Astyanax mexicanus: one gene and its partners. The protein of the gene in region 1 interacts with the protein of each later gene in a pairwise test. Links are inferred from orthologs where the notes say so. Each region holds a gene or a part of one and is shown on either strand. Other genes may lie near its edges.

Evidence for each region. The genes of interacting proteins can lie anywhere in the genome.
Region 2: the proteins of thap1 (region 1) and acot7 interact in binary tests that used the Homo sapiens proteins (3 or more experiments, as listed by UniProt). The two-hybrid records come from large-scale screens. The link is inferred for Astyanax mexicanus from reciprocal best matches to the Homo sapiens genes THAP1 and ACOT7.
Region 3: the proteins of thap1 (region 1) and uncharacterized protein C7orf50 homolog interact in binary tests that used the Homo sapiens proteins (3 or more experiments, as listed by UniProt). The two-hybrid records come from large-scale screens. The link is inferred for Astyanax mexicanus from reciprocal best matches to the Homo sapiens genes THAP1 and CHLSN.

The regions. Positions count from the first base shown.
Region 1 is NC_064408.1:9,974,661-9,981,777, forward strand, and holds the start of thap1 (THAP domain-containing protein 1), read left to right. Parts: upstream 1-4,110; 5' UTR 4,111-4,258; coding exon 4,259-4,329; intron 4,330-6,117; coding exon 6,118-6,313; intron 6,314-7,117. UniProt on the Homo sapiens protein: DNA-binding transcription regulator that regulates endothelial cell proliferation and G1/S cell-cycle progression.
Region 2 is NC_064419.1:18,183,720-18,191,051, forward strand, and holds the start of acot7 (cytosolic acyl coenzyme A thioester hydrolase), read left to right. Parts: upstream 1-4,306; 5' UTR 4,307-4,338; coding exon 4,339-4,394; intron 4,395-7,332. Other genes in the region: hes2.2 (transcription factor HES-2.2), read left to right, coding at 51-343. UniProt on the Homo sapiens protein: Catalyzes the hydrolysis of acyl-CoAs into free fatty acids and coenzyme A (CoASH), regulating their respective intracellular levels.
Region 3 is NC_064413.1:15,018,980-15,026,274, forward strand, and holds the start of uncharacterized protein C7orf50 homolog, read left to right. Parts: upstream 1-4,269; 5' UTR 4,270-4,419; intron 4,420-7,295. Other genes in the region: c6h16orf91 (protein CCSMST1), read right to left, coding at 1,812-2,190, 3,867-3,949. UniProt on the Homo sapiens protein: Hormone secreted from the intestine in response to cholesterol, where it acts to inhibit cholesterol synthesis in the liver and VLDL secretion,leading to a reduction in circulating cholesterol levels. Acts through binding to its receptor, GPR146.

The sequences.
Region 1 (7,117 bases):
CTCAAATGAAAAAGGAGTAACGAGGCTATTTTTATTAAAATGTAACGAGTAGAAAGTTCAGATAATTGTGTGTAAATGTAAAAAGTAGAAGTAAAACTTTATCTGAAAATTAATTACTCTAGTAAAGCATAGATAACCAACATGTCTACTTAAGTAAGGAACCTCTGGTCAGAGCTGTTCTGGGGCACGAGGGGGACCTACGCAGTATTAGTCAATTTTACGTACAGATCTTGTGTTATACTGCCACCTTATGGCCGGATATTCAACTGTCTCTAATTAGGAAAAGCAATCTGTTATTGGAACGGTTTTAATTTATTTGAATGTCTCTTTATTTTTTAGCGCTTTTGCTTTATGCCTTTTAAGAATATTGTATTTACTTATTTTACTTGTTTAACACATTTATGTATTATTTAACTAGTTAATTAATTTGTATTAGTTTTAACCTTTAATTTTGAGTTGTATGTGTTTTTTGTATTATTTTTGGATGTATTTACTTTATTTTAGCTTTCCTGACTGATTTTACTATTTATGCTTTTTTCATATTAAGATCATTCTTAAACCTATTTATTTTATTTTTATTTAATTTTTACTTTTGTATCTGATTTGTTAATCTATTATTAATTAAATCTTAATTTTATTATCTTACATAAGCTACATTTATTTAATTTTTCTATTTTTTCTTTTGATTTTTTAACATGCTTCTTTTGCACTGTTCTTTTTGCATAAATTGACATATTTTTTAATTAAAAAAATAATTTTATGAATTGTATTATTGTATTTTTTTTTCTTTTGTCTTTCTTTTTCAATCTCTGTCTATTATAAATTCTCAACTTTATTGAAAGGTCATTAGGGTCACCTTCACTGTACTCTGATTAATAGTTGATTGATTAATTGATTAATTGATTAATTGATTGGCTGACTTTTTGGAGTCCTCACTCACTTACAAAGTGAGAAATGTAGCTGTCAAGCAGATTTTGATACTGATATCCTAGTAAAACACTTACATACATGATAAAAAATATATGTTTTAAACATAAACACTACATATTATGCAGTCTATATACCACACAACTACACACACAGCATTAAACACATAATAAAGCATTTATCTGTATGTAAAACACTCTGTGTATATAAGCTTTTTGTCTAATTAGTGCATCAGCACAGCCTACCTGCCCTGCAGATAAGTTCAGCATGACTCCAGACTGATGCTGAGGCTGAAATCCCACCAGCGGCAGCAGCAGCAGCAGGGAGATGATCAGCAGCAGCAGCAGCATGGTGGATCCTCACAGCTGTGCTGGGGGAGTAAACACACTGTGCAGCTCAGACTCTCTCTCACTGTGTTAGCACCACTACTACTCTGGGTTTCCTGCTTCAACCTGCATCTAAATTTCCTGTTTACACCACAATCACACACCCAGCCAGACACACACACATACAGCAGACAGACAGACAGAAAGCACACAGACAGACAAACAAAACAACAAGCAGAGAGACAGTAATGCACACAGACAGACAGCAATGGACACAGACAGACAGCAATGCACACAGACAGACAGAAATGAACACAGACAGGCAGACAGTAATGCACACAGACAGACAATAATGCACACAGACAAACAGACAGTAATGCACACAGACAGACATAAATACATACAGACAGACAGGCAGTAATGCACACAGACAGACAGACAGCAATGCACACAGACAGACATACATACATACAGACAGACATACAGCAATGCACACAGACAGACATAAATACATACAGACAAACATGCAGTAATGCACACAGACAGACAGACAGCAATACACACAGACAGAGAGTAATGCACACAGACAAACAGACAGCAATGAACACAGACAGACAGACATACAGCAGACAAATAGACAGACAGAAATCACACAGCATTGAACACAGACAGACAGACATGCAGGCAGACAGACAGGCATCACACAGCAATGAACAGACAGACAGACAAAACGACAAACATGCAGATAGACAGACATACACACAGACAGCAGACAGACAGCACACAGCAATAAGCACAGACAGACAGACATATACACACACAGAAAGACAGCAGACATACAGAGAGACAGCACACAGCAATGAACACAGACAGACAGCACACAGCAATGAACACAGACAGGCAGACAGTAATAAACACAGACAGACAGACAGACAGCACACAATAATGAACACAGACAAACAGCAGTAATGAACACAGATAGACAGCACACAGCATTAAACACAGTCAGACAACAGACAGACAGTAATGAACACAGACAGACAGACAGCACACATCAATGAACACAGACAGCAGACAGGCATACAGTAATGAACACAAACAGACAGCACATCATTAAACACAGACAGACAACAGACAGACAGAGTACTGAACACAGACAGCAAACAGCATTAAACACAGTCAGACAACAGAGAGACAGACAGACAGACAGACAGTAATAAACACAGACAGGCAGCAGACAGAGAGACAGCACACAGAAATGAACACAGACAGACAGACAGTAATGAACACAGACAGACAGTAATGAACACAGACAGACAGACAGCGTGTTTAATCTGAACACAGGTGTTAATGCAGCAGCTCCGTTAGGATGCTCATATGCAGCACGTGCAGTTTAACCACGTGTTTTTATATCCGCCACAGCCCACTGCGTGTGTTTAATGTGTGTTTTTAATGAAGTGAGTAAAGCAGGGTGTTAATATCTCTGTTATCAGAGTAAAATATGAATAATAAAGCTTTAACTGCTGTTCAGATCTCCTCAGAGGAATCTACGCAGCAGCGATCTGTTTCCTTATCGCATCTACGTCACCAAAACAGGGAAATCCTTCCGCGTGGGGCTGCGTCCCATTACGCAGGTAGCGTGCCTGTTCCCTACACCCTATGTAGTCACTATGTATAGTGTTTAATCTAGCGGTTTGTTATGAGATGGATGGATGGATGGATGGATGGATAGATAGATCGTATTACCTTTTTTTATTTTATTACATTTGTTACCTGACAACTCTATAAATAAAATTATATTTAGGTAAGAAATTCACAACTAGAAAACTTGAATTGTTTGCCATCAAGCTGCCGGCATTAGAGGGAGCAAAATTGGCCCGGCTCCCTCTGGGTGGGTAGATGGCGCTCTCTCCCCACATCACTCCTAGGGTGATGTCTGCAGCACAGGGCGCCTGTGAGCTGATGTACCGGAGCCGAGCCGCTGTGCTTTCCTCCGAGCGAGCTGGCTGCTCGGTGATGCTGCATCAGCAGCAGCTCGATGTATCGGAGGAAGCATGTGTTAGTCTTCACCCTCCTGGTGTGTTGGGGCATTACTAGTGATCGTCCTAGTGAGTGGGTTGGGTAATTGGCCGTGTAAATTGGGGAGAAAATGGGAAAAATTTGAAATAAAATTATAAAAAAAAAAAAAGAAAACTTGAATTGTGTTTTAATTATTGCAGACTAAATGTACATAATGTTGTTATTATTATTATTATTATTATTATTATTATTATTATTATCATTTATGTTTAACTTGTTTCATTTTATTTAACTTTTTTGTAACTAATGGCTCCATGTTTCAGGTAAGGTAGAGGGAAGGAATTTGTTTAAAGAGTTTAATGTCTTGAAATATGTAAATAAAAAAATACTGTTGAATGAATGATGTACCAAGTTTAAAATAAATAAAAATATGCATTAAAAATAGTTGTGCATGCATTATTAAAATAAACTGTTTACTTTTACATTGTTCAAGTCCACTGTGTGATTTAGTAAGTTGATGAATTTTGGAGTTCCCTATATATATAATTTGCATATTCCACCAAATCAGTGCCATTTCAGTCCCCAGGAAATAACTTAAAAATAGCATAGTGTCTTGTAGAACAGTAAAATGACCCAGTTGCTATAATGTTAAGTTTGGAATTGCTTAAAAATCCATCTGAATCCTGAATTAGTCACATCAGTTTTCACACTTTATTATGAAGGGAAATAAAAATTTAAGGGGAAAATCTATTTCTAGGGCCCTAGGTAGGGCGCATGCGCGCAGATTGGAGCGCACGGGAAAGTTGCGACGTGCTGATCACATGGACGGATGCGTTTTCCTCCATCTTGGAGCTGGTGAGGAACTGGTGAGGTACTACTGGTGAGGTTCTCCAGCAGCAAAGAGGAGGAATAAGTACAGCAGAGATCCTGAACCCCGAGCTGATCCTGCAGCCGGGCTGATCCACAGCGCAGGACCTCCAGCAGCCATGGTGCAGTCCTGCTCCGCCTACGGCTGCAAGAACAGATATCACAAAGATAAGAACGTCTCATTCCACAAGTAAGATCCTCCATCCATCCCTCTGCACTGCCGCGAGCCCTGTCTGCATAACCTGGCTCTGCTGCTTCACAGGGTGAAGCTGGGTGACCAGTCTATATTTTAGCCACTACAGGACTTTTTGTATTTGTCTTGTTCGGGTTTGATGGTTTAACTGGTCTTTAATTCATTTGATCAATCTGAACAAACCAGATTTCCAGTATGACCAGGCTTAACCATACTGGTAGACCAGGAACATTGGCATGAGTAAGTTAGGTTACCAAGAAATAGCTGGTTGACCAGTATATGGTATGTTCATGGTTGACTTTAGTGGTTTAGCTGGTCTACCAAGCTAGTTCACCAATATGACCATTCTTCCAAAATTACCCCACAACATAAAGCTGGGCAACCAGTATGGTCAACTCTTAACCAGCATGATTTTGTGTCAGTTTGATGGTGTGGCTGGTCTACAAACATGATCAACCTGACCAAGCTAGGTCACCAGTATGACAAAGCATCAGCATAGTTGGCATAACTAATTTGGGGGACCAGCATGACCAGCAAGAAAAAAAAGCTTGTTGACCAGTATATGCTATGTTTATGTTTGATTTTGATAGTTTAGCTGGTCTACAAGGATGGTCAGCCTAACCAAGCCAGGCCACCAGTATGTTTGATGGTTTAGCAGTTCTACAAGCATTTGATCCATATGCACAAACCAGATAACCAGTATGACCACATTAATCCATGCTGGTATACGAAGAACATGAGCATGACAGTTGTTGTTGGGTGACCATCATGATCAGCAAGAAATAGCTGGTCGACCAGTATATAGTATTAATGGTTTGGTCTACCAGGCTAGGTCACCAATATGACCATTCTACCAGAATGACCCAGCTGAATAACCAGCATGACCTCCAACATAAAGCTGGTTGACCAGTTGAGCTCTTGCCCAGTATGATTTTGTGTCAGTTTGATGGTGTGGATGGGCTACAAACATGATCAATCTGACCAAGCTAGGTCACCAATTTGATCATTCTATCAGAATGAGCAAGGTGGTTAACCAGCGAGACCAAACTGGATCATCAGCATGACCATCAACATGGTTAAAGCTCTTGATTTTGATGTTCAAGCTTTAGCAAGCTGGTAGACCAGCGTACTTGGCATGACAAATTTGAGTGACCAACATGAGCAGCAGCAAAAGAAAGCTGGTCGACCTGTACAGGGTATGTTTATTCTTGACTTTGGTGGTTTAGCTGGTATACAAGTTTGATCAACCTGACCAAGTGACAGGTGCATTTTAAAAAAAATTAGAATATCATAGAAAAGCTCAGTAATTCAGGTCATAAAGTGGAACGCATGTATTAAATAAATACAGTGCATGCAGTTTGATCTAGTTTAAGTGTTTATTTCTTTTATTGTTGATGATTATGGCTTACATCCAATAAAACTCAAAAATCAGTATATCAGAAAATTAGAATATTATGCAAGACATATTGCTAACAATGTAACAAAAGTTATTGGTAACAATGATATTCTATTTTTGAGATACACCTGTAGGTCACCAATATGGCCATTCAACCCAAATGACAAAACTGGTTGACGAGCATAATTAAGATGATTAACCAGTAAGACCAAGCCCATTAATTAGCCTACCCAAGCTGGTAGACCAGGATAATTGGCATGATTACTAGTATGATCAGAAAACCTTTGTCGACCTAGGGATGCACCGTGGTATGTTTATGTTTGATTTTGGTGGTTATCTGGTCTACAAGTATGGCCACCGATATGACCATGCTACGGATCTTATTCCAGGTTCCCTCTCGCGAGGCCTGACATCTGTGGGAAATGGGTGGCCGCCATGAGGAGGACCAACTTCAAGCCCACCAAATACAGCAACATCTGCTCACAGCACTTTACCAAAGACTGCTTCAAACGAGAATGCAACAACCGAGTGCTGAAGGAGAACGCCGTGCCTTCCCTTTTTAGCTTCAACAAACTGCAGATAAAGGTACAGAAACCGCACAACACACCCAGTTCCTCCTTATGTATATTATTTATATGTCCTGGGCTCTGAGTGGCTCAGTAGACTGACACTGACTCTAATGACCTCAGGATTGCAAGTTCGAATCCCTGGTAATGCTGCTTCGGCATCAGCAGCAGGAATCTGAGAGAGCACAATTTGCTATGCTCTCCACTGTGGTGGGGATAACTGTTTTAGCTAAATATGGCAGAAATTTGGGTGAAGTATTACGTAAATAGTGATAATCAGTTAAGTATCTGCTCTGTTTGGGTTTTATAGATAATTTTCATATGATGAGAATTTCACACATTAAGTTATTTACATTGTGCTGCATTTAAAATGCTTTTTTACATGCTCTGTGCAATAATACATTTTCACCAGAGAAGTCCTCAAATCCACAAACCCTACAGACTGTTGCTTTAAGGCAAAGAACTTTAGTGCTGTGCAGTATACCTGTCCGACTGGTGTATCAGAGGAGAAATTAAAACTGGTATGCAATTTTCGCATACTGTCATACCGCAAGAGATGCTGCAGTGCGTTGTGTATAATCTTTAAAGAAGCATACTGGCTCAGCTTGCTAACTACAGCTAGCCAGTTAGCATAACAAGCTAACACACTAGAGTAACTATAGCTCAACTCTGTGGAGTAAAAGTCTCTTCTCGTTCTCTCCTGTCTGGAGAGAAATAAGAACAGCACATTATCTGAGGAGCTCCTGCTGCTGTTCCTTGCACTATGAAATTGCGTTATCAATCCACAGCTTAGAGAAAATTTCCTCTCGTTCCCCAGACGAGC
Region 2 (7,332 bases), on another chromosome or scaffold:
AACCAGTTTGTTCAGCATCTAACCCTCTGTTTTCATTTGTTTCTCCTCAGATGTTGCAGATAACTATAAAGAAGGTTATAAAGCTTGCCTTCAGCGCGTCTCAGCGCTACTCCCGCGCACCGGCCTAGACCATGAGGCAGGTCGCCGAGTGACCGAGTTCATGCAGCGGGCGATGCCCTCCTCCAGCCCGGCGTGCCAGCACTGCAGCGGCCACGGCGCTCCTGCTACCCCCCAAACCCCGCAGCAGCGCCTCCGCAGCCTCCAGGCTACCGTCTCCAGAAGTGAAAGCCGGGCAAGCGTTGTCGTCCCGGTCTCTGGAGCCCCCGTGTGGAGGCCTTGGTAGCTGCACCAAAGCCGGGACACCTTTCTCCAAACTAAAACTGTACATAATGACTCAAAAAAAAAGAAAGATGATGCGGTTGGTGTGTACCAGCCTGCTTTTATACGTTTTAATACGTTTTATAAGTTGACTCAGGATCCTGTCAGGATCAGCCGAGTCACGATCACCTGAGTATTGTATACTTGTGCTACTTTGCTTAGCCGGTCTCGTCGGGTTCGTCCGAAACGGTCGCTTTTCTTCTCGATTCCTTCTTGCGCGTCGCCTGTAAATAACGCGGTTCTGTTTAGTCCTCTTCGAGGGGGGGTTAAATGGGTGGGGGTTGTGGAGAACGCCTATGTAAAACCCCACGGGTTGTTCAATGTAAGGCATTTGCACGTTTGGCTTCAGTATTCTGAGTTTGTGCAGATTAGTCGTATGTAAGCACAATGTGTTTAATTGTAAAGTCTCTGTTTAAGGGATGTGCTGATTATATCGTTGTATATGTATGTTACACTCAGTACTTTTGAATAAAAGGAATGGGCTACCCAATTATTGTGTCCTGTTTTATTAGTTGAAATGTGTGGGCAAATGATGATTTAAAAAAAAAAATGCAATTGTGAGTGAAAATCTTTGGATGTATATTTTTTTGGGTTTATAAATCCTTAGATACATTTTAGTTAGAATTTACAATCGATAGGTAACTTGCATTATCTACTCAATATAATGCACAATAAATAACAATCCTTTGTTTGCTATAAGGCCAGGTCTGAAGGGGGGATTTAAAAAAAAAAATACATGCACAGCCGAGTGTCTCCTGACAAACTACATTATTTGCTAAGGGACTAATGGTTGATAATTAGTATTTCTGTGGATATTTCGAATGAACAGTTTTTTTTCTGATTTGGGATCAGTTTGTCATTCCCATTGCTCTAATAAATGACATATACTACATTGACTATATAGACCTGATCTCAGATCAGTTTAACTGTCCGTGTGTTTGAAACGCAAAAAATGCCTTATTAAACACTATATGCCCTCAAAAAGAAGGCAGTGTAGTTATGAAGATCTCTGTATACGAATTAAAATGGAAGAATTAACTGTTAGACATAAGAATTGGTGTTGTCATTAGCTGTTAGCATTTTGCCCAATAAAAACGTAATGTTAGATTACTAACCTTTAGATTCAGACATGACTTGGGGCTTTACAGTCTCAAAACAAGAATTCTGTCTTTGCGATTTTACGTTTAAGAGACAGTGCTTACTCACGGAGCCCCTAAGGTTTAATAATTTAATAATTTAAGTCGTGGCCTCGCTTTATTTATTTATTTATTTTACAATGTGTCACCTTAGGGGCTCCATACTAACTAGTATGATAAATGTTCAAATTGTTCAACTTCCAGAGCGAAAAAAAAACGTGGTCTGTGCTGTCACCATGTGGTCACATGGGGTAATGCATGTGTTTGAGAGACATAAGAGCCTTCCTTGTTCTAACCCCATGTAAAACATAGAGCTTAGCTAAGCCTATAGATCAGTCCAGGTTCAGAAAGTACAAATCCATCCCGGGGTTTTGTTCCAACTGCCTATAGGCGCCCAGGCAGTTGGAACAAAACCCTGGGATGGAGTTATACTTTATGGACCTAGACTAGCCTATCCATCGCTCTCTACTCGCAACCTAGCCTGTACTCTGTACTCTCTGTTTAAAATGCGAGAACAGGAGACTTTTAAACATCTAAAATATTAAACAGCGCTGTAACTCTGTAACTCAGCCCGCCTTGTTTTCTGCAGCCTTTATTTCGCGGTATTTTTTGTAAGATAAAGAACAGAGCGGGAAGCACAGGGAAGACAGGAAGACGTTCTAAAAACGCAGTTTGAATTATTTCGAATTAAGAAACGGGTTTAAGCATCACGAGCTTAAAAAAAACAAAACAAAATCAAACAAACAGCAGCACTTGGGTGTCCAATGGTACTGACGCCTCTCGAGCTCTAGTGTGTGTGAGAGTGTGTGTGTTGTAAATCGATTCGCCCTTATTAAACCCCCCCTTTGGTCCAAGCCGGAGCTCGCTAGCTGGTCTGCAGAAGCAGCTCTCTCTCTATCTGTCTCTCTGCCTGTCTCTGTCTCTCTCTCTCTCTCTCTCTCCATCACCCTTTATTACTGCTAGTTATAGTTAGTTTAGTAGACTAGGGGTCGACCCGAGCTGCACATGATGTCTGCCGCCGGTTCTCCAGCCGCCTCGCCGTCCATTCAGATCTGCAGGTAAGATTATGAAGCCCCGGCTCGCGCGGACATTGTGGCGGGGCTGTAGACTGTTTAATAGCTCAGCACAGACAGATAGCTAAATTAACTAACCCTCTAAACACACCACTCACTGCTTCACACAGCCCAGCTACCAATCTACTTATCCAGCTACCTATCAGTATTTCAGTATGTGTAATGAACACAGCCGTGTATAGGATCAGTGAAGGAGGAGGAGGAAGAACAGCGTGTTTAAGCCGGTTTGCCGGTGCTTTTCCACACCATGCTTTACCATTCAGCAGCAGCAGCATGTAGTATTTGTCGTATGTGATGACCTCAACGAGTGATGCTGCTGGAGCTGAGGCATGATGGAGGCACAGCCAGCAAGGTTAGCTATTCAGCCACAGCATCAGCATACTAGTTAGCTAGCTAGCTAGGTGAGAAACACATATAAAACGATACGACTGTGCATTTTTAGGACTGTCACGATGATGTTTGTTATGTTTGGACGGTGTAAGCTACGTTATTATCCCCAAAACAATGTTTATTTTAAGACTGAGTGACACGTTTTTATATCTCCAAGGATGTTTTATATATTATATCATCTAATAGTAATGTATAAAAGCAATGCAAACAATAACACAGGTATACAGGTGAGTACATTCATCATATGTATACAATTTATACAAACTAAATAAAGGTATAACATAGACAACATACAGCTCTGGAATTCATATTCACAAAGTTCACAGAGTTCAGAAATCAATATTTGGTGGAATAACCCTTGTTTTTAATCACAGTTTTCGTGCATCTTGGCATGTTCTCCTCCACCAGGCTTACACACTTCTTTTGGATAATTTTATGCCTGATGCGAAAATTCAAGCAGTTTAGCTTGGTTTAAAGGCTTGTGATCATCCATCTTCCTCTTGATTATATTCCAGAGCTTTTAGATTGGGTAAAATCAAAGAAACTCATCGTTTTTAAGTGATCTCTTATTTTTTTCCAGAGCTGTATACAAACTAAAAGTATCTACCATAGACACAACATACAAAGGAAAAAAATATTATATCGTTAATGTGTACAAGGTAAATTTGTACAGTCTATATCAGTATTTACATGTAGACATGTATCACCACTTATTAAGACCTACTATTTATTTACTGTTAACCTATGTGCAATATCACTTGTTATTTCTTACCATAATTCCTCTAATCCTCTAGTTTTCTAGACCTCTTATTTTTCGTTTAATAAATGTATATTCTCGCTTGCATGTTTTGTATATAGCAGTGTTGTATATTGTTTGTATATTTCCTGACACTTATGTTATATCCTCTAATCTTGTTTTGTTTATAAACAAATTAACGTAGCTGTATATAAGTTTGAAACTCTTAAATTCAGTGATTCTGCATTGTAGATTAATACTAAAGAGATTTAAACTATGAAGAAAAACACGTTATTATTTAGTAAACAAAAAAGTGTTAAAAACAACACAATATGTTTTATATTTTAGATTGTAGGGGAAAAATAAACAAATAAAAACATTAAGTGAGAAACTGTCCCTGTCTGCTCCTCGATACGATTGACTAGACATTTCCCTCCAGCCAATGGCAGCGAGCAGAGGCGATTTGAGGCGGGAGTTTCAGGAATACGGATAGGTAAAAAACCTGAGCGTCGCTGTGAGGTCGCCCTCTAGTGGCGGACTGATGATAAAGCATTTAAACACTCGCTCTGTTGTGCGTCAGAGCGCCTGACGTCATCAAGCAGACCACGTGGTTATTTTCTTAGAAATGCTGCGGGGTCCTGTAGGGAAAATGCTGTCCCGGCTGGCGATAATCACATCTAGGTACGTATTTAATAAAATAGACCCGTTTTTAAAGATGCGCCACGATGCCCAAGTACTTTCCCCTAGTCTGGACTAAACCTGACTTCTGTTTTAAACTGAAGGAGTATGTCCTTTATTGTCATACAGAACAAGAGTCATGAGTACATGTGTAACACAGTGCAGTGGAATGCAGCCTTATTTACACACTGTGTGGACAAAAGTATTGGGACTCATTCTATTCCATTGTTTATTTGAGGGAGTTTTAGGAGTGTATCATGCTTTTGTTAAATTAAATGTCTCTATTATCCAGGAAAGAGCATTGCTGTGAGGATTTTGCATTCAGCAACAAAAGCATATTCGCATATTTGGTGTGGTCAGGAACTTGAATAATCTCCCCTTTGTAGCTCATGGTAAAAGTTGCAGAGCTGTACTTTAATATTTAGTGCACACTACATAACAACAGAACATTCCAGAAATAACTGGAGACTGCCATCAGACAATTTTTTTTAAAGACTGCAATGTTCAGATTGTATAACTATTATCACACTGCTTCTATCAACAGTTAAGATTAGCATCATTGTTCATAGCTATTGCACAACATTACAATGGAATGTAGTATTTTCTTTACTTAAACTTTACAGTGGTATAAAAATATGATCATTTTCATGATTTTCCTTTTTATAAATAATTGGTTGTTCGATTCAGCAATGTCAGTTAAATATATAAAATAGCAGATGAACACAGTGATATTTGAGAAGTGAAATGAAGTTTATAGTATTTACAGAAAGTGTGCATTAATTCTTTAAACAGAATAAGGCAGGTGCATAGATGTGATCTCCCTTGTCATTTGAATGATTTGAATACCTTTAGCAATAAACATTGGAACACAACATTTGTTTGGTAAGTTCATTGACCTTTGACCTACATACTCCAATAATGAATGAATCCAATTATGAGAAAGGGTAAATGTGGCCAATTGCAAGTTTCTCTCCTCTTTGCATCTTCTCTAAAGACCAAAGACCTACATCATCATCTTACTGCAGATGGAGTCACTGTGCATCGTTCAACTATTCAGCTCACTTTACACAAGGAGAGGCTGTATGGGAGAGAAATGCAGAAGAAGCCTTTTCTGAGCACACGCCACAAACAGAGTCGCTTAAGGTATGCTAAAGCTAAAGCACATGTAGATAAGCCAGCTTCATTTTGGAATAATGTGCTGTGGACTGATGAATCCAAAATTAAGTTATTTGGAGGGCGGCATGCCTGGTGGAAAAGAAACACAGGATTTCAAGACAGACACTTTACTGCTCTCCACAGTAAAAAAATTGGTGGTGGTTCATCATGCTGTGGGGCTGTGTGGTCAGTGCAGGAATTGGGAATCTTGTTAAAGTTGAGGGTTGCATGGATTTTTCAGTCAATATCAGCAGATTCTTGAGAACAATGTTTAAAGTTGCGCCGGGGCTGGATACTTCAACAAGACTACGACTGTAAACATAAACACTGCTCAAAATTTTCTAAAGCATTCATACAGAGGAACAAGTACAACGTTCTGAAATGATCATCTCAGTCCCCAGACCTGAATATTATTGAAAATCTGTGGTGTTATATAAAGTGTGCTATTCATGCTCGGAAACCATCAAACCTGACTGATCTGGAGATGTTTTGTAAAGAAGAATGGACAAAATACCTTCAACCAGAAGCCAGACTCTGTTTGGAAGCTTTAGGAAGTGTTTAAAGGCTGTTATTTTCTGCAAAAGGAGGATCTACTAAATATTAATCTAATTTTTCTGTTGGGGTGCCCAAAATTTATGCACCTGCCTCATTTTGTTTAACATATTATTGCACACTTTATGTAAATCCTATAAACTTAATTTTACTTTTCAAATATCACTGTGTTCATCTGCTATATGATATATTTAACTGAAATTGCTAATCATTGTGGGATGGAAAATAGTGTCTAATGAAACCACATTTAAACACCGACTTGTTCTTAGCATCATAGAGGATCAAAAGTATCTGAGGAGCATTGACATTAGGATACAGGCCCATTCATTTCTTTTGACTTCACTGAGTATATAGGACACGCTGTAATTCTAATTAATTGTAAGTCTGTAGTCCTTCTGTTTCTCTGCTTACTTTATTATCCTCTTTTCAACATGATCTACAATGATCAGAGAAGCTTTTATTTGTGTGGTGGGTCATTCTCAGCATTGCATTGACACTGATGCGGTGGTGTGTTATTGTGTAGCGCTTGTACAAGCAAGCGGATGTGACCACATTGTAGATAAAAACACTGCAGGTAACCACTACAATGTGCTGGTCCATGGAGACACAATATCCATTAAGCCAGACAAAAAGAAGATTGCAGAAGTAACTGGAGACTGCCATCAGGAAAGGCTGCAATGTTCAGAATGAAACCATTATCACACTGCTTTTGTCAAAAGTTAAGATCAGGACATTTTTCATAGCTATCGCACAACATTACAATGGAATGTAGTCTTTTCTTCACATAAACATCATGTGGCAGTGATCACACACACTAACAAACAGTGGCAGCAGCACACACACACAAACAAGACTGTGGGCAGAATTAGGTGCCTTCTTACCTACACCCTGCCTGTCCAGGCCCAGGGTATTTTTTTTATAGACTCTTTTTTTTATAGACTCTGCATTAAAACGACCTAAAGGCCTAACAGACAGGTGCATACATTTTATAAATTTGAATACTTTTAGCACTAATTATTGGAACACAAAATTAGTTTGGTAAGCTCATTGACCCTTGACCTACATTCACAAGTTAATCCATCTATGAGAGGGTTAAAGTGGCCAATTGCAAGTTTTTCTCCTCCTTGCATCTTATCTGAAGAGTAGCAACATGGGGGCCTCAAAACAAAGATTAAAGAACCAGAAATAATTCCAAGTGTATTGCATTTGGTTGGAAAACCATCTAAGTCCACAT
Region 3 (7,295 bases), on another chromosome or scaffold:
GTAGTTGTGGCAGGGGAGGGGAATCTTGTGGTTCTTCAGCGTGACAGTAGGGGGTGGTGTCTGAACATTCCGGGAGCTCCTCTCAGGGTTTTAAAGTTTGTATTTTAGACTTTGGTATACCTCTGCCTGTGCGCTATAGTCTGCATGCTACATGGTGATATTAGGACATGTCCATTTTATTTCTATCATTCTATTTTTCTCCTCCATTGTGGCCATTTGGTTGTAAATAAACTTTCCACTACCTCATGTGCTGGATTCTGTGTGGTTAATGTGGAGAGTGAAGAGAACTGCTGCAAACATAAAGTACATATACTTAACATTAAGTTCAGCTGATTTTAATAACCATGCACAACATTGGCCCAAAATGTTATGAAATCAGTGGAAAAAGGGGTCAGTTACTAATTAAATTTGTGTGCTCGTTGTGCTAACAGGGCTTAAGCTAAAAGAGCCAACAGATTCAATGCAACCTAAATTTGCCACTAGAGGTGCATAAAAAAAAATCAGAATGGCTAGTGTTTCTATATGAACCGGTTGGGATTTACTTGTATGTTTAAATAAAAAAAAAATGAATTTATGAAATGTGAAATTGTAAAGCTGTCTGATTATTTTCAAAATATTTGTGCTGTGCTACAACTTATTTAAAGAAGCCAGTTGGAATTTAAAAATGCAGGTGCTCTATATGCAATGTGGAAAGCTATATTCTGAATAAAAATGCTGTTGGGCTGCCAACTAAGGAGATGATCATTGGCTCAGCAAACTCCCATTGCTCTGGTCCAAGCCAAGTCATAATTGGATATGAAAGTGTAGAGGTGGTGGACTATTTTAAGTACCTTGGCCTAAGTTTGGACAACAAAATCAGTTTTGATCATGTCATGGACCTTTACAAGCAATGCCAGCAAAGACTTTCTTTAGTCTGGAAGCTATGAGCACTTCATGTTGAACCTACGCTGCTCCTGCTCCTCTACAGAAGCATTATTGAGCTGGGTCGAACTACAACAAACTGTCATGCATCAAACACATTGCTGCAATGATCATAGGCCTCCCCACACAACTTGATGTATCCAATGTTGCAAAATACCAACAAATTATGTATGGCCAATAACTAAAAATGTTTGGCCAATCCAAACTCACACCTCAGTTACTGTTGCAGTAGAAAAGTTTGATTTAATATTTACATGCACTGTATAATCACTGCTAAGTCACTAATTTGATTAACACACAAACATTAATAATCATATAATGGAAAAACTTAACAGAAAGGGAACAGATTTTTCCTTCACAGCCTACATGGTTAGTCATGTCATTTTTGCATTAAATTGCAATATGTGGCTTCCTGCTAGTGGAAAAATGCCATTAACTGTTGCAGTTTGCAATATTCAAAAATCATGCGGCAATAGCATATCAAGCAACGAGAGTGTGGCACCTGCAGGCCCTATGGTTTGCAAAAGGACACATTGAGGTGATGCTGAACAGTGTGCAGACCAAACATTTTTCCCTAATATGCAGGCCAAAAACAATAACAGTAAAAACTAGTTCCGTCAACCATTGACACACATTCACTTTCAGTGCCCTCAAAAGAAGTATAGCAAAAGATTTAAGACCACATTTAATGCAGACTACACAACCATTATTTTACATCGTAACAGATATGTACCCCCCCTCCCCGGCAGACAAAACCAGCATTACAACATGTAGAGCTGTATTTCAGTCCTCAGCCTGCTGCAACAGAGCCATCCATACAGTCTCATTATCCAAGCAGTACAGTAATTACATTTATATCAGAGGTTAAGACTGTTCATTTTAGTCCACTGTCAGGGTTCTTTCTTTTTTGCCTCTGTTTGTGTCTTTTCCTCTTCGTCATCCTCCTCCTCTATACCCATAGTTGTCAGTAACCCAGGTAAATGTTCGTACAGTTGCTTCTCCAGTGTTTTGTCAACGTCCGACTCTTTGCGTAAAAAGCACCAGAGCACGAAGCTGACACACATTATACTGAATGGCAGGACCTTCCACCAAGGCCGCTGGTGTGTGCTGCCCATTGATCTTTCCACCCTCCAAGTCCGGTGACTGCCTTTACTTGTGGAGAACTTGATAGGCTCGGAATTAACCTCATTGTTCTCATTGCTACCTGAAGATCCTTTGGATTTTGCAGAGCAGTGTGAAGTGACTGACAGTGCTCGCACTGTGCATGGCCTATGAGAAAAAAAGGGATTACATTTTGGGTCATTAAAAGGGGGAGAATAGAACTATACATGCAAAAGATCTTTTCTTTTCCACACTTGTAATTCACCTTTAGTTTTGGTTTGTTGTGCTTCATGAATCTAACCCGTATTTCAGTTAAGTCAAGTCAAAACACGCTGTTATAGTAGTGGTTTTTAACTGCATTTAACCTCCTGTTCTCAAGTTGACTAAATCCCCGTATACAGACCCTTTATAAGATGCATGAAGATCATTACAGTACTCTGTCCTTCACTTTAACTCAAACATCTTAGTGACACATACTACACACAACCCTGAGAGTATCACAAGGCAGTGTGTTTATTCATCTCACCTTATTTACAGAATGTAGGAGTGCTGGATTATTGAAACACCTCAAGCTCCTTTTAAAAGTGTATTTTTTTTGCTTTTTCTGATCTGTTCCAACCATTTTAACAATTCAAATACTTTGATTAAACCTTTTACAATCCATAACACTTAATTCTGACCTTAACTTTTTTGGTGCCATTTGTTAAATCATGCTTTTAACCTTAAAATATTTACAGTCATGTTCCTACAATAAGACAAAAACATGAATGAGCTGCTCGCTGAATTTATCTGATTTAATTTTAAACTTGGCATCAATATTATATTATATATATTATATTATATATTGGCATTAATATTACATGGTTCTGGGCTCTTATGGGTTAAGTCAAGCCTTTAACCTCATGTTCTTCTTAAATTGACTAAAGTTCAACTCCAGCAGTTTAAACCTTCAGAAGATTAAAGATGGGTGTGAATTTAGTAAAGTTTATTGTGCATTTGATGTTTGTATGTTGAGTCAGTGGTTCTGGTATTACTAGTATGGTTGTGTTAAATAAATCACAAAAAATGTCAATATTTTACATTAACACAGAAGATACCAGACACATTCCTAAATATTAATGCCAAATAAATTTAGTGAACAGCTTATTTACATTTTATCTCCAGCACACCTACATTCTGAAAATAAGGTCAGATGAATTATCACAGATTCACACACAGTCCTGTGATGCTCTCAGGATGTTTAGTATGTGTCATTTAGGAACTGCATAAGTTCAAATGAAGAACATATGTTCGGTAGGGAACTTTACACAGCTTTTAAAATGGTATGTGACATATACATGTACATCCCCTTGGGCTCTTCTGGGTTAAACATTGGATGTGGTCAAATTTACCCCAAAGATAAAAGAAGGGTTAAGACAGGTCTATGAAAATTCAGCATTCATGCTAGACTTTTACAATATTTACATTCAAACTTTTTTTTTTTTTTTTTTTTTTAAGAATGCCTGCTTTAGCTAACGTTTCTTACTATGACCCTTTGGAGAAAAAAAAACCCTAAAACGTCTAGTCACATAACATGAGTTGTGTGTGGGTGATCAATGTCCATAAAAGAGAGTTATTTCTATATTTTTCAGGTTTTAACTAGGTATAAGGCTAAATAATGAAGCACAGTCTATAAGAGAGATGTATATTTGTGATTTAACATAATCAGGAAAGTAAATATTAGACTAATCAGCTGAAAGACCTTCAGTTACTGAGAGAACCAGAATCACTTTTTAGCCCTGAAACAGAGAAGTACCCAAACTTATAGATTAAACTACAGGATTCGGGACTGCTGTAATCCTCACCTGATACACTGCAGTGCGGAGCTGCCAGGACGCGTAGAAAAGCCTGTAATCTTAGTAAAAGTCCTCCAGACCGCTGAAGCCATGCTGTTCAGCTCTCTCTGTCTCTCTCTGTCTCACATTGAAACCGTCCCTGGTCATGTAACCTGTCTAACACGCCGTGTGTCCCCCGCCCACAAGCGTCCGGCTGAACACAGGCCTTTAGTTCCGCATTAAGAAATTTAGCTACTGCTCTCTGATCGAACATATTGTTTCAAAATAAGTTGGTATTTTCATAACACAGAGACTGCCTTTAAAACAACAAGATTATTGTTTTAATTATTTCGCTTAACTAATTAACTAGCTGGAACTATATTTTTCGAGCAGTGAAGAAAAAACAAATTACACAAGCCGAACAGGCAAAACTCCATAGCAACAGTCGCCGCCATTAATAACATGAGACAGTCGCTCTAAACCAACCTAAATGTAGTTTAAATTATTTTGTGGGCGACATATCTAAATATGAAAATAATTTAAATTACATTAACCAGGATAAGCGACGTGAAGGACAGAAAATGTAAGCATAGCCTGTGTGTTACACTATACAGCTCTGGAAAAAATAAGAGACCACTTCAGTTTCTGAATCAGTTTCTCTGATTTTGCTATTTATAGGTTTATGTTTGAGTAAAATGAACATTGTTGTTTTGTTCTATAAACTAAAGACAACGTTTCTCCAGTGGTTTGCAGTAAGGCCCTTCTAACCCTTCAGAGAAGAGGTGACAATAGGTGCATGTAAATCATTACATAAGATTTAATCAGGAAATATATATTATTGTTATTGTAAACTATAAGCATATGTTTTATAAATTAACTAAAATAAAAAAACAGCTACTAATTCAAATAATTAGTCTGCGTTTTTCAGTTGCTATAGGACTCTTATCTGACTGACAGCTGTTCTAACCAATCAAAGCTTTTTAAAATTGCTTCTGCCCCCGCGTGTCTGCAGGGACCCTTCTCCTGATTTTGAGATGGGAGTAGTAATGAGTCTATTAGCAAAGTCGCAGGACAATCTAACCAATCAGATTCATGATTTTCGTTCCAGGGGCGGGGCCATGACTGTCTAACCCCTTCTCGGTGCTGTGCAGAAGGTGCTACGCATTGGTATAGTGTAAAACAGAGCACATGCTGGATTAGTTTAATAGTTAGCTAATTATAATGGAAATGCAACGGTAAATGAGACAAATATTGTGTCATATCATATTAAAAAGCCTTTTTAAAGTGTTGCAGTAGGGGTACCCACTATATTAACTGCACGCCACTGCGTTTAATAAAAATGTTGTCATTTAGAGCATGTATTTGCAGAAAATGAGAAATAGCTGAAAAAAACAGAAAAGATGCAGAACTTTTAGACCTTAAATAATGCAAAGTAAACAAGTTTATATTTATGAAGTTTTAAGAGTTCAGAAATCAATATTTGGCGGAATAACCCTGGGGTTTAATAACAGTTTTCATGCATCTTGGCATGTTCTCCTCCACTAGTCTTACACACTGCTTTTGGATAACCTTATGGCACTCCTGGTGCAAAAATTCAAGCAGTTCAGCTTGGCTTGATGGCTTGTGATCATATGGGAGGTAAATCCTGCCAAAAATAAAACTGAAATGAAAACACTAAAATGAAAATGCAAATACCGTTTTGCTCTTTCTTTTCCCAAACATGTGTGAAAATATTATGACAAAATTAAAAACGGAATTAAATCACTTCATTTGCAATTTAATTTTTCACTTGAGCATGGGTCATACGTGACAAAATTAAAATTAAAAAGGATTTTTGCCATTTCATTTTTATTGCCATTCGGCTATTTCATTGTCAAATCTAAAATGAAAAAGCTAATTATAAAAAGAAAAATCAAAGCTTCACTTTGGGCTTGCTTTTTCTCAATGAACTGCATAATAAATAAGAAAACTAAAATCGAAATGCAATGGTAACGTTTTTATTTATTTTCCTTTGCAATAGGCTGCATGTCTGACAGAATTAAAATGAAAACGCAAAATGGAAAAATAAATAGCAAAGTGAGAGTTTGTGATTCAGTTTTTGGTGTGGACTGCGCTTTATGCTGGTCTGGATTCCGCGGGTGGATCCGTAGTTGTAGCCCCGCCTACTGCTAATTTACATATATTTGCATGCTGGTGAAGTTGAAAAAGAAAAAGAAATGTATAAAAAAAACTAAATCACCAGCAGGGAGCGCCAGTCTTCCTTTGCGTTTTCCTTAAATTTTTGACACTTAAAGCGCAGTCCACACCAAAAACTGAATCACAAACTCTCACTTTGCTATTTATTTTTCCATTTTGCATTTTCATTTTAATTCTGTCAGACATGCAGCCTATTGCAAAGGAAAATAAATAAAAACGTTACCATTGCATTTCGATTTTAGTTTTGTCATTTATTATGCAGTTCATCGAGAAAAAGCAAGCCCAAAATGAAGCTTTGATTTTTCTTTTTATAATTAGCTTTTTCATTTTAGATTTGACAATGAAATAGCCGAATGGCAATGAAAATGAAATGGCAAAAATCCTTTTTAATTTTAATTTTAATTTTGTCACGTATGACCCATGCTCAAGTGAAAAATTAAATTGCAAATGAAGTGATTTAATTCCGTTTTTAATTTTGTCATAATATTTTCACACATGTTTGGGAAAAGAAAGAGCAAAACGGCATTTGCATTTTCATTTTAGTGTTTTCATTTCAGTTTTATTTTTGGCAGGATTTACCTCCCATAATGATCATCCATCTTCCTCATGAATATATTCCAGAGGTTTTCAACTTGGGAAACTCATCATTTGTAAGCGGTTTCTTATTTTTCTCCAGAGCTGTATTTTAAGCATTGGTGGGTATCTGTATATTTAATCTTTCTGTAACTATGACTGAGGGGTCAATCTCAACGCTCTGTCCTGTTATCTGAATTAATTCTTAGATCTTATTTGTTTATTTTTAAAACACAGATTTTGGGAAAATCACTAGAATCTGCTTAGTGTCCTCAAGCTATTAGCATAGCTGCCATTTAGTTTTTTTTTTTTTTTTTTACTAATTCTATACTAAAAACTTAGTCCTGTTACTTTCAGTCCTGTTACTCATAACATAAAAAGTAACAGGACTGAGTGCCAGTAACAGGAGTGAGTGCCAGTAACAAAGTAGAGTCCCCTGGTTTATTGATTTATTAATGTGAATATTAGTTAATGTAAACCATTTTATTCCAATTCTTTTTGATCCATCATTGATCCATTTTAATAAGTTTAATTAATTGCATTATAATAATAATTTGATCAATTTCAGGTTTGGGTCTTCTTTAAAAGATAAAAATGGCTTTGCATCTTTTAGAAAAATACAATGTGCATGCATATAGTGATTTTATTTGTCATTCGTTTTTCCCCAACATTTTCAACGACAAGAAAAAC